Struthio camelus: one gene and its partner. The protein of the gene in region 2 interacts with the protein of the main gene of each other region in a pairwise test. Links are inferred from orthologs where the notes say so. Each region holds a gene or a part of one and is shown on either strand. Other genes may lie near its edges.

Region 1 (7,608 bases), on a different chromosome or scaffold from region 2:
TAGGGCTGTGCATGGGAGCGCGGGGTGCTGGCGTGCCCCAGCCTGCAGCGCCGGCGCGGGTGCTTGCTTTCGGCGTTCCTGGGGACAGGCGAAGCGAGCAGCCCCTCCGGCAGCCAAACGCACGCGGCCGCCAAGGCGAGCGACAGTGCGACGACGCTCACGAGACCGCCGGCACGCGCCCCAAAACCGCCTGCCTGGGCTACCGCGTTTTGGGCCGCCTGCAAACGGCCCCAGCCGCCGCCCTCGCGATGCTCGGGGCACGTCGCCTCCCTGCTGCGGTCGCTTTCGCACCAGCGGCCGCGGGCTGGGCGAAGCGGGGATGAGCCAGCGGCCCTGCCACCTCCGCAAAGCGCCAGTTCAAGCCTTCCCACACTCCAGATGAGGCTTTCCTCTAAGGATGACCCACTCTGGGGGCTTCCTGCTGCTCAATGCTTCCACACACTTGTGTCCCCACGGGCTGGCACGTGGTCCCCGGGCTGCAAGCACACCAGCAGCCTTGGCCTTAATCGAGGTGGGAAACTGAGGCACGGGCAGTCAAGCCCAGCGCACAGGCGAAACCCCACCATCGCCAGGCGCCCCGAGTTGCCCAAACCGTGGCGGGACATGAGCCCCCAGCTCGGTGTGCCCCGAAGGGCGCTGGGCCCGGAGCCAAACCCCCACCGGGAGGGGCAGAGGCAGTGGGTGCTCTCGCTCCCCGGACCGTGCACGGCGCTGCCTGCTTTGCAGGGGCGAGATGGGCAGCGCCGGACACCCTGAGCAGCCCCCAGCACCGCATGCAGCGCCGGGCACCCCCAGCGACGCCGAGCACAGCATGCAGCACCGAGCACCCCCAGCACAGTGCGCAGCGCCCAGAACCCCCCAGCAACGCCCCGACCCCCCCGCGCACCTGGGTAGGGGGCGAGGCGAGGTGACAGCGAGGCGACGGCGCTAGGGCCGCGGGGCCCTCGGCGGCGGCGCCGCCGCCGCCCGGGGAGCGCTGGCGTGCGCGTCCGCTCCGCACGGACCCCGACGCAGCGCTGCCGGCCCCGCCCCAGCCGCGCTCTTTATATCCCCTCTGGCCCCGCCCACGCGACGCATCTCCGCCAATGGGACTCCGGGTCGCGAAGCACCGCCCCTTCCCTGGGAGGGGCGGGATGGCGGGGCTCCGCCCCCTCTCCCCCCACCCGCGCGGGGTCTGTGCGCAGCGCCGAGCACCCGGCGGGCGGGCGGCCGCAAGGGGCGGCTTTAATGCAAAAAAAACCCGAGCAAATTAAAAACTGCCTCGAACCGAGGTTCATTAAAGATGCTCTCTCTGGAAATCTGCTCTCGCTGCATGTGCCCCCCTCCCTCCCCAATGCGCGGTTTGCTGGGGTTGCTCTTGTCCTAGCCAAAACAGGAGGAAGCAAAACAAAAACATATATACATATATGTATGCACGTAAATCTATATATACACACACATATACAAAAAAAGAAAACCTTAAGTTAAAATTTAGCATTGGAAGTTAAATGTTAAAATGCAGCCTACAAATACTGCCAGCCCTAGAAAGTTGAAGAATTTAAATGTGTGATGATGCCGTTTCAGTACTTTGTTAATATTTAGCGAAAATATAGTGCCAACAACAAACAAGCTATCTAATGACCATCTTATGTAACGCGGCATTAAGAGAGAGCCAAGACAGCCTTTCTCACGAAATGCTTGCTCTGCAGAACCAAGGGGAAAAAAAGACAAAAAAAAAAAAACCCTAGCACAGTTCAATATTTGAAATTTCGTGGGAGAAAAAGATTTTAAAAATTTCAAGCAAAATATACCGGACTCAACCACATTTCAAATTAATCAAAAAAATAAATAAATAAAGCTTGAAGGGATACTGAACTGCGTCGGTTGTATTAGTTTCATATAAGAAAGGCTTGTTTGAGAAGAAGCAGCCTGCAACAAGGCCTAGGCACCTCCAGCGCTGAAGCACCGCTCCTCGACGCTTGGACACCAGTACAGTACGCTATATAAATAAAAACATACTGCTAAATAAAATATCGCTAAAATGCTGGAAGCATCGGTCCCAGCTCCAAACTTCAGACCCCAGAGGGCCTCGGCGCTCGGGTCTCGAGAAATTTATCTGACCTAGAATGAAAAAAATAGCCTAAAATTTGGGTGCTTCGGAGCAGCCAGGGAGGAATCACAGTGCTGACGGCAAGAATCCAGTTTGAGTTCCTGGGACGAAGCCTGCGCCGGGCACGTTCAGGAGACGAAGATACATTTCATTTGTAACCGGTCGAGAATCAATCGTTTTAAAAGCGGACGGATGACAAGATTTGGACGGATTTTCGCTGCGCTTTTCCTCTAATGAGAGCCTCCGAGTTTACTGCCGCTCTCTTTACAGCTGGCTTCTGAGCACCGTTTCGGTGTTTTTTTCTCTCCTTTAAGACCCCAACGGGAAGGATGTTAGGAGCCCCTTAGAGCCTCCGGTTGGGGATTCACGGCGGGAGGGAAGTATCTCGGCTCTCAGCGGGAAGAAAAATAGCTTTTCTGTCTGAACTAAGTGACTTGAAAAGAGGAGTCAAGGGTTCCCGCAGAGCATCCTGAGGACGAAGCCCCGCGTCCTTGCCGCGTGCCGCGGCCCGCTGCGCGGCGCGCACCCCGCTACACAGCAGCCTCCCCTTGCCTTCCGCGAGGCTAAAGGAAAGTTTTCAACTCCTTCGCTTGCACATGGCATCACTTAAACCCCGCTGTTACACGGGCTGCGCTCTCCGGAGGGGACCCCACGGGCGGACGCCGCCGCCGTCGGCCCAGCGCTCCCGCCTCGCTGCATCGCCGCCTCCAGCCTGCTGCAAAATCAGCTCCATCTCCCCCCCCCCCCAAAAAAAAAAAACCAGAAACAGCCGGTATAAACCTCCCACGGGGCTGCCCGGAGGTGGCATCGCCCAGGAGCCGGGTCACCATGCAGCGCGGGCAGCTGCTGCCACCTATGGATATAAATTAGCCTCGATGTTCAGCCCGGGTGCTCGGCTGAATGGGAAACGGGAGGGTGGGCACCGGCGGGAGCCTCCTGGCCGCGCAGGGCCACGCTCCCCTCCGGCGCCTGGCGGGCGCCCAGCGTGTCCGGCCGCGGGCCGAGCGCGGGCCAGGGTCCCCCTTGCACCACGCACGTCTCCCGAGTGCAGCCCGTAGCGAGTCCCAGGCTGCTTCGTTCGCTTGCGCCAAAAACTTAAGCCTCCGATCCGGGGCAAGCGGTGAGGAGACACGGAGCATCCAAGGCGGCGTAACGGAGGGTCAGCCACGCGAGCGCGACTCGGCGTCGCTCGTCCGACCAGGGCGTCTGTTTAACCCCCTTCGAAAAAGCCGTGAGATGTCTGGCTAGCAGCTACTACTTGCTGCGATAAAGCAGGCGCTAGAGAAATTTTGGTTACACAAGCAAGTTCCCACCTGCTGACCCCTCCGCTCCTTTGGCCAAGCCTTGGGGTCGAAGGACGGTGCGCAGAAGGGGACGGTTCAACGTGTGTGTCTAATCAGTAAAGCAATGTGCTAATCCGGGCAAATCTGGGAATTGCCTTGCAGAAACCAGCGGAGGAGCTGCTCAGCATTTATCTTTCCACAGAAAACTGTTAGGCCGGTGCCTCCTTTCTAGGATGAGCGCGTGCGATTTTGCTACCAATCCGTGATACAAAGCACGCAAACAAATCGATGGCTAATGTAATTCCGCAGGTTTCGATGCGGGTCAGCGCAGCAGTGAGTCTGCTCATTACTGTCTCCCTCTGGATGCGCCTGAAGCTTGTGCTGTTGGCCAGATGCTTCCATTAGCAGCCCTTCATCTACGGTGATGAGAAGATGCGGGCAGTGGGGCTCTCTCAGCTCAGTGGCCGCGGTTTAATAAGAAAAGCTGTCCCCTTGCATTGCTTTTCTTGCCTCGCGGACGTGAAGGGCTCTCCAAACGAGCGCAGCGACGGGCGGCAGCTTGATACAGCCCCGGACTCCCTCGCTGTACAAACAGTGCAGTCCGGTGCTGTGCAGCATGCCGAAAATGGCACTGAACCACAGGGCAGAGGCGTCTTATCTCCCTGCTGCTTGCCCTGCCTGGGGAACGAAGCGGCGCCCCGGGATGGGATCTCTCCCCGTCTCGGCGCGCGCTGAGATTTACAGGATCAGCTCCTCCGGCCGCTGCAGGTGTGACGTCCACCGCTCGCCCAGGCGCCGAAACTGCTGGGGCGTCCCGAAAGCAACGCATTCGAGACTACCGTATCAAGAGGCAAGTTTTCGCAGAGGACAAGTGCCTGTCTTGGCTGCTCCTCGGAGCGACAGCGGGTCAGACGGAGCAGCTGGATTGTATTCTGTGCAGCCTCTTTTGCGGCAACCGCGTCTCAAGGGAGCGCGAAGAAGCAGAGCGGCAACATTATAATAGCAAAGGGGAAGGTGAAGAGCGGAGAAGGAGTTAAAGTCGTCAGAGGAAATAGGCGTTTGGATGACGAGCTGCTTCGGCGCTGGATGTGGGGAAATGCTCCTAGGGGCAGGACTTTAGACCTCCGCTGATTTTGTAATCTGGTGCTGGCTGGTTTGCACGGCTCGGGGTCGGCGTTTCAGGCAGAGCAGGGTCTGCGCGAGCCGGCCTGGGCTCCGGCGCTGCTTTCGGGGTGGTTTTTACCTTTGAGACCACTCTTTCCAACTTGGCTGAATTTTGGCCAAGAGCCTCCTGCAAGCGATTTGCTGGGGACACGGCCACGCTATGCCCGGCCGTTATTAAAACGCTGCTCAAGTGACACCTTGCTCTGGTGCGCTCCCACGCCGGGAGCTCCGGGGCCGGGAGCCTTCCCGCGGCGGCGGTTAACCTAAGCCAGCCCTGCCTCGAGGCGATACTGTCCCACGAGAGCGCACGCCGCACCGGGGGCCCGGCACTGGGACCCCCCCATCATCCCGGATGAGCTAGGGAAGCCGGAGCCGAAGGCCTCGTTGTCTGGAGGTATTTTTAGGCTGCTTCATCCTGGAGAGCCGGATTCAGTTGCTAAGCAGACGCCGTTCCCAACCCTCCTCCAGCCCCTCAGCATCCCCGCTCGCTAGCGCAGGATTGGGCCCATCGGGCTGCTGTGTGCTGCCCTCACCCCGGCTGGCACCAAACCTTCGCTCGCCGAGCTACAAGGATGCCGGAGGGGGCACGTCTTTGCCCTATCTCAGCCTTGTAATTTCCCATCCGCTGGAGCGATTCGCCCGTCCCGGCACCTCTGCCCGTCCCGGTCCGGCGCGGTGACGCTGCGCCCAGGAGGACGGCAGGCACAGCAGCTTGCGGGAGCCCTCCGAGAACAGGGGCGACAGCGATCGCCGTCCCCAGCCGGCTGGGCTGCTGGAGGGCTTGGCCGTCTCGGCATCACCTCCAAAGTTTATTTTTAAACCTCTGGCTGTGGTTTAGCGGGATCAGCAGCGTGTGCTGCTGCAGCGCCTTGGGCCGTTCCCCGCTGCCGCCCCGCTCCTTCGCCGCCGCTGCCTGCCCAACGCTGCTGCCCTCGCCCGGAGCTGCCAGGCCTGACCCGCTCCCCGAAAGCCTTCTGCTCTCCGGCACCTCGGCCTGAGGAGCAGTAAGTCTGGCCCACGTCCGAGCCGCCCTGAATAGCAGCGTAAACATGCACCAAAATCCGCCAGGCATCACACCCGCGAATCCATCCCCTCAGAGCTGGTACCTTACTCCAAGGCCAATCCCTTTCCCTCGGCACCGGCCACGGCGCTGGGAATCGCCACGTGGCAGAGCCGTGGGCGGCTGGTTTCGTGGGGCTTTGAGCTCGCTTGGTTTGGGCACACAGTAACCTACAGCTGCTGCAACGGCGGGGTGCAAAGGCAGGGCTGGCGTGGAGGGAGCCGAAACCCCCATCATGCAAAGACGGAAACCTTACAGTCTTCATCCCTTCCCTTCCCTCCCCAAGCTCCTCTGCTGGCTGGTCCGATGCCTGTTGCTTATGGGGATGCAGAAAACAGCATGAGGCCCCACGTTTCTTCTTTTCAAGGCAAGTATCTCTCTTGCTTTGAAAGGCAAGGAGGAGGAAAATAGCAGCTTTTGCCCTCGGGAGATGCTCAAAGAGGTCATCCGTTGTGGCCATGCAGTCTGAGTCTCTGGTCCAGGCCTCGAGACAGTTCGCTGGCATTTCTCCATCGCGCCTCCAGCGTCCCCGTCGGCGAGAGCGGGGCTTCTGGAGGCTGTCGGGTCGGGCATCCCCTGTGGCTAACGCCTGCGTTGCTAAAAAACCCCGCCTTCAAACTGAGACGCGATGCATTTTGCAGAGTCAAAAATGCAACAGCTCGGCGAGCTGAACGCATTACTCATGGGAATAAACACCCCCGGCGAGAAGGCAAATTCAGACAGGCAGCTTGCGATGTTTACAGCCCAGTTACATACAAATTAAGACGCTGCGGATTACTCGTTCTCCCATGCAAACTGCAGGGGGCCTTCCGGGGGAAAAAAAAACCCCAAAAACCTCATTCATTATGCCTGGGCAAATGTGAATTTTAGCAGAGCTTAAAGCATCAGTCCCAAAGGTGGGGGCTGCGGAGTCGGCGGGAGCCGGTGCCGCTGCCCTGGGCATGGCGCGGGCGCTGCGTGGGCATCAGCCCTTGCCCGCAGCACGCAGGCAGCGGTGCCCTTCAGAGAGGAGTCTCTGTCTTCTCGAATGATCCCAAATCATTCGGTGATGGCTTTTTGCTAGGCTAAAAGAAGGGTGGGGGTACCAGAGACTGAAGAGGACGCATGGGAACGGCTTCACCCGCCACCGGGAGCCGTTCCCGAGCCAGATGGATGCAGACAAGGCGCTAAACTTCCAGCCGCCCCCAGATTTTGGCTGTCCGGGTTTATTTTTTTTTGTGCATAGCTGAGGGTTTAAAGACAGATTAGTAATATTTTTCAGATGCTTGGTCAAGCATTGGGGGGAAGTGGTTCCCCTCTGGCGTGGAAACCATGCCAAGTGCTTGATGATCCAAAAGGATCGAATGTGTTCGACCTGAAACCCTTTGCCCCGGAGCCGGAAGGCGCGCGAGACGCCGGCGGACCTCAGCAGACGGCTATCACTTTAAGTCTCGCAGAGGCTGGGCATCGCGTGGCTCAACCTAGCCCGGATTAGCCAGGTCTGACGGCGCTCTATCCTTTCCGTGCCCTGGACTATTTATAGTCTGATGGGCTGTCAGGCTCTGTTTCATTGTAGAAATAAAATGCACGCTACGGGTAGACTCTGGCCCGGTTTCCGTACGTGCCAGCAAGGCAGACTGGGCGCCACGGTGCACAACCTGCTTGTCCAAAGCAGACATGAAACTGCAAACATGTCTGTACGGGAAGGATGATCCACCTGCGCTCCCGAGCGGCGCTCGGACAGCGGCCAGGTTCTCAGGGGCGTCTGAGTTGGGCGGCGTTTGGCTGGCCTTAGGCTCCCCAGTGCTCTCATGAATTTGTCCTGCGTGGTTACCTGCCATGCTATTTTTAATGTTTGCTAGATGCACTCTTCATTTCTCTTTCTTCTGTCTGGGGAAAAGGGTAAAAATTCAAACCAGCTATTTTTACTGGAGAAAAAAAGGATACAAAAGAGGCCCATTACACACTCTCCATATCCCTGGGCTTGCAGGCAGACAGACCCTGGGTTTTGCTCTATCCTGTGACTTCAATGA
Region 2 (8,116 bases):
TGGTAATAAGCCTCCTAGCACGATTCCAACAGGGCCCAAGGAAGAAGACTCTCAACCGTACAAAGAGTAAGATCACTAACTGGACTGGGATGCCTTTTAAAGCTAGATTTTGCTAGATCTTTGGAGGGTACTTCCTTTTCTTATTTTAGAACTATACAAGTGGTTGATTAGGTGCACTGAATGCAGTAGAAGAGACAAATCCTCCGAGATCTGACTCTGCCCACCATTTCCTTTGCCACAAGGCACAACAGCATTACAGTCTTGGGGAATTTGGGTGCTGGGAACTAAATGGTCAGTCATTTTGCCTGAGAGTTTGCTTTGCCTTGTTTGAAATAAAGGTGAAATGCAAAGGCTTTTAGTAAAGTCCTACGTATGAAGCAAGACTCTATCAGAACAGTAGAAGTTTTATACAGACAGTTCTCCAGAGGTGGTACAATTCTTGCAGCAACACATTCCCAATAGTAACACATCCTTGCGAAACATGAGCTGTGATTTCAGAAAGTCACATTGTCTAATGAGTCATCAGAGACAGCTTCCTTGTAGCAAATTCAAGCAGCAAGTAATCTGCAGGAAGGACCACAGAAATGGGTCCTGGATGACCGTGGGGTCCCTCTGAAGCCTGAGATCACTGATCAGATGCTTGGTTTTAATAGAAGAAGGTTTCACAAGAGACAGCTAGAAGGTGTACAGTCCCAACAGACTGGTATAGAGAAAAACATGGCACTCATAAGCAGGACACTTTTGCTCACCATTGGCTAGAAGATAGCGTACGAGCTCTTCGTGTCCACACAGGCAAGCATAATATCTGGAAATAACAAGAGAAAGAAAATTAGAGATATAACATGAAGAAAATTTCAGTGCTGGGGTACATCGCAGCATGCAGACCTCAGCACTGAGCTATCACTGACAAGCTTAGAAGATGATTCCTCACAGAGTGTGAAATTGCTCCCAAATAGCACAGAAGTCTGATCCCTGCAACACTGAGCAGGATCTGTCCTGAGCAATGCTAGGCCCTGCTGTCCTGCAAGGAGATCTCAAGGTCCCAGTCTTGGTTCAGCATCTTTTGTTGCACTGTGAGTTCATTTCACAGTGCAACACTCAGCAATTCCACCGCATTCTCAGAAACACTCTCTGCTCCTTTTACTGTCAGTCTGCTGCTGCCCTAGGATAATGAGGGAACAGCACTCAAAGCAGAGGTACAGCAAATGCACCTCTCAAAAGTTCTGCTTAAGATGGATTTGTTTTTCTCTTCCCACAACCTAAGCCTTTTATGACTCTCTTTCAAATGAGGACCTCAAACTAGCCTTGCAACCTGCACTGCAGCAGGCAAATGTTAGTCCACTTTTGCTCTGCAGAGATACTTCATATGCTAAATATATTGTGGATGTCTAAACACACTTTGAAATTAGCATGCGAGGAGGTACAAAGCCCATACTATCCTTCTCACTACCAGCATGGTGATTCTCCACTATCTACTGCAGGTCCCCAACCCCACTAGACAGACAGTAATCCCACAATAGCACTACATTTCACCAAGCAGAGCCTTTACCTGAAAGGCTAAAATGCCACAGAGTTTGAGAAAAAACAGCCTAATTGGGCCAAGAACAGACTGCTTAATCCAGGTAATTTGGTTACAAAATTAACCATGCTTCTCAGCGCTTCTACAGCAAATCTCCTTCAGATGGGAGGAGAAGGACGCATCTAGCACAGTACCCGCAGAGGAGAGAGGCAAAAACTCCTGGCCAAAACTCCCACAAAGCAGAACCAGAGATATTTTGTAACAGTGCTGCTAGGTGCTGATGGAGAGAGGACAAAGGAGCTCCAAAAGCCCTAGCCTCCCACCCAGCCTCTGAGGCTGCAGGACTCACAGAGGGGTACTGTCCCATTTATCGCGGACGTTGATTTCCACATCTCGCTGCTCAAGAAGGTATCTGGAAGAGAAGGGAGAGCAAAGTCATAACTTCATGCAGTTGCTCAGTCAGCCACGTTTCCCCTCTAAAAAGAGGCGACCTGTTTTGCATAGTAAATTCCGAAGGCAGGACGAAAACTTGCATGAGGCCAGGGGAAGCAATGGCTGAAGGGGCATCAGTCGAACACACGACCTGAAAAGCAACGTTCTGCCACACGGCTCGACAGCTCCCTTCCTGCTGACCCCTAATGACACAGCAATTATGAACGAAGCCTGAGCACTCCAATAATACCTTCATGTTCTCCTACAACGCTCACAGTCTCGACACTTACAAATAAGAGGCCAAATTTACAAGGCCAAAGCTGGACTCCCATCCTGCCTGTGGCTTTGCTGCCACAAGTAACATCATCAGTGTCTCTCCAGGCTGTCCTTAATTCCTGTCGCTTTCTTGCCCTGCACATTTGGGCTATATCAAACGCTGCCAACTCCTCCTCTTTGGCAACTCTAGAAGTTGGCCTTTGCCTTGCCTCCTACGCAAGCTGGCTCTTGTTATAGAGTGCCCTCAATTATTGCAACACAATTTCTCCTGACCATGAGTAAAGGTCCCCCTGAGCCTTCACAAAGATTCTCAAGTCATTTTCCTCTTCCATCACATCATTCCCCTCTTCTCCTCTCTCCATCTTTTCTTGTCTTAAACTTCACCTTCTTCTAACTATATTCAAAATCTAAAGCGATTCCTCTCCTCTCTACTCAGCCCTCTCTGCTCAGCTCCACGTTGTCATCTTGCCCCCTCTGCTTTGACAGCATTCCCAAACTGATCATTTCCCTACCCTCTGTTCTACGCTGTCATCTTACAACCTCTGCAAGGCCACCTGCAGGGCCTCCCCATCTAGGGAAAAGATACAATTTACTGCTTGCAGTGCTCAAAAAGCACTGGATATAAACATTCTCCAGACCTCTTCCATCTGCCTATTTATCCTTAACTAGCAAGCACCTTGAAACACAGATCACCTTCTGTTTATCTGGAGAGATCCACATGTCAGGAGCAAGAACAACTGAGCAGAGCTGAAAAGTGAAAAGCAGTCTTGGACTCAAACCCAGAGATGCAGCAAAGAACACCTCACGCGCTCTCGGCCTTCGGGTTGCAACGTTCCTTCACCAATGCAGACGAGACGGCCCTGTGACTCCCGATCTGAAATCGCTTCAGCTAAAGCACATTGCTTCAATAGTAGCAAGAGAACTTGAGCCAAAATTTAGCGGCCCGCTGTTTCTCAGAGAGAGCGCCACAGCCTCCAGGGCACGGCGTTCAAACGCTTCCACGACGACCGCGTTCCAGCGATCTCGTTCCCTACCACTGCAAACCTCACGTCCGACAGCAGCGAAGGAGCAAGGGAAGACAGCGGACCCTCGGCAGGACGCTCGCCGCCGCCAGCGCGCGCGTGAAGGAAGCGAACCGCAGCACCTGACACCCAGGGACCCGCGTTTTAAGAAAGCGGGTAAAAAACAAACAAACAAACCAAACCTAAGAACGAGAGGAAGGACGCAACAGAGCATCCCCCACACCCTTTCGGGGGAAAAAGGCGTTCATTTATTTTAAAAAGAGCAGTTTCTCCTCCCCACGTCCCAGCTCGCCGTGGCCGCGGCGACCCCGCGGGAGACACCCACCGCCACCAGCGGCGGCGGGGGCAGCGCGGCGGGCAGCAACCCGCCACGTTACGCGGCGAAACCGCCGCGGCCCGGCCCGGCCCGGCGGCAGCGGTCGGCCCCGGCCACCGGCCCCGGCTCCGGCCCCGCTCACCGCACACGGCTCACGTCTCCCTTCTTGCAGCTGGTGAACAGGTCGCTGGTGTCCATGGCCGGGGTAGGCCGCGGGGCGGCGGCGCCGCATTGACACTGCCGGGCCGGGCCGGGCCGGGGGGTGGGGGGGGGAAGGAGCCAGCGGACGGGGCCGGGAGGGGGCCGCGGCGGCGGGACGGAAGCGGCGGCGGATGTAAACACGGCGGTGGGCGGGGCGGGCGGGAGCGGCCCCTCGCGCCTGCCGCCGCGCCGCGCAGCGCCCCCTGCGGCCCGGAGGAGCGGGCTGGGCCGGGGCGGCTCTGGAACGCGGTGGGGGGGGGGGGGGGCGGGTTCTGGAGCGCGCCGGGGGGCAGGTGCTCGGGGGGGGAGGGGGGGATGTTCTGGAACGTGTCTGGTTGGGGGCTGCTCTGGAACGCGGGAAGGGGTTTCTGGAGCGCACAGGTGGGGGCTGCTCTGGAACAGGCTGGGGGGGTTCTGGAGTACACCTATGGGGGACTGCTCTGGAGCATGCGGGGGGGGGGGGCCTGCTGCAGAACGGGCGGGGGGGTTCTGGAGTGCACCTGGTGGGGGGCTACTCTGGAACATGCATGGATGCATTGTGGGGGGGCTGCTCCAGAGCACACCTAGAGGGGCAGACTGTTCTGGAGCTCAGCGGGAGGGGTGGTCCTCCTCTGGAAAGCATGGGGGGGGGGGGTTCCTGCTCTGCAACGCACACAGGAGGGGTTCTGCTGCGCAACGCACGGGGGAAGGTCCGTTCTGGAACACGCCGGCCCCATGGCAGCTAGGATAACCCACAGCAAGGGTGGGACAACCCCAAGGACACAGCGGCTGTGAGTTCCAGCAAAGGACTCGCGCCTGAGTCAGTGTTCACACACCCGGGAGGTGCATTTTATTGCAAAGAAAACCAAGCCACGACCCCGTGGCTTCCAGGGCGGACACAAGCGTTTTCGATGTTCTCCAGCAGCAACCCTCAAAATCAGCCACCGAGCCCCGCAGCGACCAGGGCGTCGAGACCGCGCACCCAGCCTGAGCTGACGGCTGGGAGCCCCATTTGTAGGCGAGATGAGCCCACAGGGGCTGCCGTGGGTCAAGGGGGGGCCGATGTGCGTGGTGTCTCTCTTGATGGAGCACCAGGTGCCGTGTCCCCCCTGCAGGGAGACGTTTGCTTGCCGGCTGGCGAAGACGGACTGGCACCCTTTGCCTAGAGGGCTCCTCGAGGTGGGATCTTGAACCATGTTCTCGACCCGACATGCACGTTGCAGAGTGCGGGTCACTCCACAGCGTCCCCCTACTTTCTGTGGGTCACAGGGCAGCCTGCCTGCCTAGCACGCATTGGGCTACCACCCTACGTTACAGACCCTGCTCTAGGCATCAGGGCAACAGCTGGGGGCAACTGCAGCTTGGTCAGGCCAGCTCGTATCTGCTGCCGCCTCGTGGAGGGGCGCGTCCCCGCTGGGGACAGCCACCCTGCTGACTGCAGCTGAGCCTCCGGCCAAGCACTGGTGCTCCCCGGGGTGCAGAGCTCCTCTCTGGAGAGCCACCTTCAATTCCCAGTCTCTTGATTTCTGGCCATGCTCCTGGAGGGGAAAAGTGGAGGAGAAAGCAGGAACAGGGCTGCAGCCCCGTATTGCTGTCCAGGGTCTCTGCACTGGGGACTCCCGGGAGCAGCCCATCTCATCGCTTTGCAGGCAGGGACACACTCACACGAGCCATCCCTCGCACGAGCCCCTCTGCTCATAAGTGCTTCCAGCAGCCCCCCGTGTGAATAAAACAGGTGACTTGAAAATAAATATCCATAGTTAAGAGGGGAGAAAAAAGTCCTTTTTTATTCTTTAACTCCCAGCAGCCACCAGGTGTCAGTGTGATCAAACAGACGGGACTACAGTGAAGTCCTAGTAGTGAGAAATAGATTTCCAGGAATTATTGTCTTCTCTGCTCTGTTGCCTGGCACACCCCTCTGAGAAGTCCAGCTTTGACAGCGTTTGTTAAAAACAAGTTTAACTACATTAAGGTGATAGAAAAGCTTCCTGTTACAAATGACAATATAAGGTTTCTCCTCCTCCTTAAAGCCTCCCCGTGCAGAGCTGGTAACCCAAGCCCTGAACAACAGAACCAGAGCGAAACAGGCTACCAATAGCCTCACTCTGCAGCACTTCCCAGCCCGCAGGTACCGAGAGATGACCCGTCCGCAAGGTTTGCGGGATAGGGACAACAGTGCAATTGACTTAACAAGATCAGCCTAGTGCAAAAAATAATACAAAGAAGAACAAATGGAAAAGGTATAAAAAGTATCTCCGTATTAAAATGAAATGCTCCTAACCAGTAGATTTCTGGAGCTAAACTGAGATCACACAGGCAAGCGCATCACGTCAGAGACATCAGAACATTGTTCTCAGCTTGCTGACAGTCACCCTTGGACGCTCTCAAGACACCCTGGAGCACTCCAGCTTCAGAAGAGAGCACTACAGTCTCTGGAATACGATCAGGCCCAAATAAGCCGGAGCAGCAGATCAGGAGAGCTTGCTAGCTGACAGCCTCAAGAGTCAGCATTGCTTTTTAATGAGCCTGGATGGCCTCCTTGGCCTATTTAAAGTTTGAAGACTTTAGACCAGATCAGGAGGTGCCGAGCCCAATTGTGACACAAGAAGCATTACTTTATCAGCACACCTTGTTGTTTCTCTGCATTAGTAAAGTGGAGAGAAAATAGGGCAGCAAAGCAGCTCTTAGCAATGAAGTGCACCAAGGAAGCGTTTTGTGGGTGAACTAGTTCACATTCGATTGGTGGCTTTATCTTTTTAATAGCCACCGAGTATTAAAAGTGTGTTTAATGAGGATTATTGGACTTATAAACATTTATACGGTGAAACTGCCTAAAGGCCACAGCTATGCCAGGCCTTGTTATGCTAAGTGCTATACAAACTCAAAATTTAACTCCATGCTTTAAATCACTTACCATGTCATAACAACAACTTACGTTTAACCCTGTGAGCCCCAAAGCGCCATCAACACAGTCCCTGAACTTGTGCAGGTTCACTGCACAGACCCACCGAACTGGGCAGAGGCTGTCAGTGAAGGGCTGTCAGAGCAGGGCTGCATGTGGCCTGCTCATGTCTGTGGAGCGTCTCCCCTCACCAGCCACCCACCGTCAACTGCTGAGGCGGGAGAGGGAACTCCTCCGGGCAGCTCTGCAACTCTACTGACAAGATAAAAAAGGAGCCAAGAGACACCGTCTCCTATATAACGCAGGGAAAGGTACGGAGGCAGGACAGAAACACTCAAAATTGGAATCTGGATAGAAAACCAAAGGTTATCAGCTTTCTTGAATCCATAAGAGACTGATATCCACATGGTCCTACATTGAAGTAATCTGCGATTCAGTCTGTATGCAAAGTGCTATGCAAAATGAAACTACAGACTCTTCTGTATCTTGACTTTAGGCACTCACATCAGGGATGAACATGCTAAAAATATCTGTACATACAGGGATAGATTTACAGGCCAAACATCAGGCCACATACCTGGGGTCCTTCTGTACAATGATTCCCTTAAAGACCAAACATGAAGCTGCATCTTGCACAAAGCAAGCAAGCAGCTAATCATAAATGGAAGCAAATACTATTGCCTTTGACCAAAGCGAGTCTCTCGATCCCTCGGTGACAGAAGAAACAAACGTTCTGGGATTTCAGGCTCACAAGTAGTTCCGAGTCTCAACTTAGGCAGGGCTCAGAGAACAATTATGCATATTCACGTGCCTTTTATCACACATCTTCAGGGAGCTGGGGCCTCAAAGCTGCCTGAGGCGTGCCTGAGAAAGTCATTGGGGAACTCTTAGATCTGATGCTGATCTCACCTAAACCGGCTTTTATACTTGTTTTAATGCAGCAATTTTAAAGATGTTACCCCTGATTTACACCAGTGTGACATTAAACACTTTCGCCTAAGGCAGGTTCCTGAAAAGGAAAAAACAAGGACCAGAAAACTATCTGTTTCTGAATTTTTACTTTTTTCCTGTTTAAAAGTCTCACATAGGCTGTACGTTCACCTCAAAAGATTAACTGAAGCCAAACTACCCTGGAAAATGGAAAAGGAGTGGAAAAGGCCTGCGAATCTAAGACTAAGACATAGGCAAGGGATACTTTGCTGCTGATTTCACAGGCTGTTAGGTGAAAGAGGCAGATTAAAGTCTTTTTTTGAGCAACTCTCCAGCCTAAAGCAGATTTCCAGCTAAGATGCTGCACCATGGCACCAAATTCTCTGCAGTCAAGCAGCCCAAGAAAGGTTAAAGTGCTCAAACTCTGCAAGCGCAACTTGGAGCTGTAGAACTGGAAAAGAGGTTGGGGCTGTTGGGGGTAAGAGGAGAAAAAGAGATCATATGGGGATGTTTTCCCCAGATGTAAACATCAGCCCATC

What was found.
Region 1: the proteins of ABTB1 (region 2) and EEF1A2 interact in binary tests that used the Homo sapiens proteins (3 or more experiments, as listed by UniProt). The two-hybrid records come from large-scale screens. The link is inferred for Struthio camelus from reciprocal best matches to the Homo sapiens genes ABTB1 and EEF1A2.

What each region holds. Positions count from the first base shown.
Region 1 is NC_090959.1:17,050,736-17,058,343, reverse strand, and holds the start of EEF1A2 (elongation factor 1-alpha 2), read left to right. Parts: upstream 1-4,533; 5' UTR 4,534-7,608. UniProt on the Homo sapiens protein: Translation elongation factor that catalyzes the GTP-dependent binding of aminoacyl-tRNA (aa-tRNA) to the A-site of ribosomes during the elongation phase of protein synthesis.
Region 2 is NC_090955.1:7,648,521-7,656,636, forward strand, and holds the start of ABTB1 (ankyrin repeat and BTB/POZ domain-containing protein 1), read right to left. Parts: upstream 3,523-8,116; 5' UTR 2,319-3,522; coding exon 2,242-2,318; intron 1,932-2,241; coding exon 1,869-1,931; intron 806-1,868; coding exon 750-805; intron 1-749. UniProt on the Homo sapiens protein: May act as a mediator of the PTEN growth-suppressive signaling pathway. May play a role in developmental processes.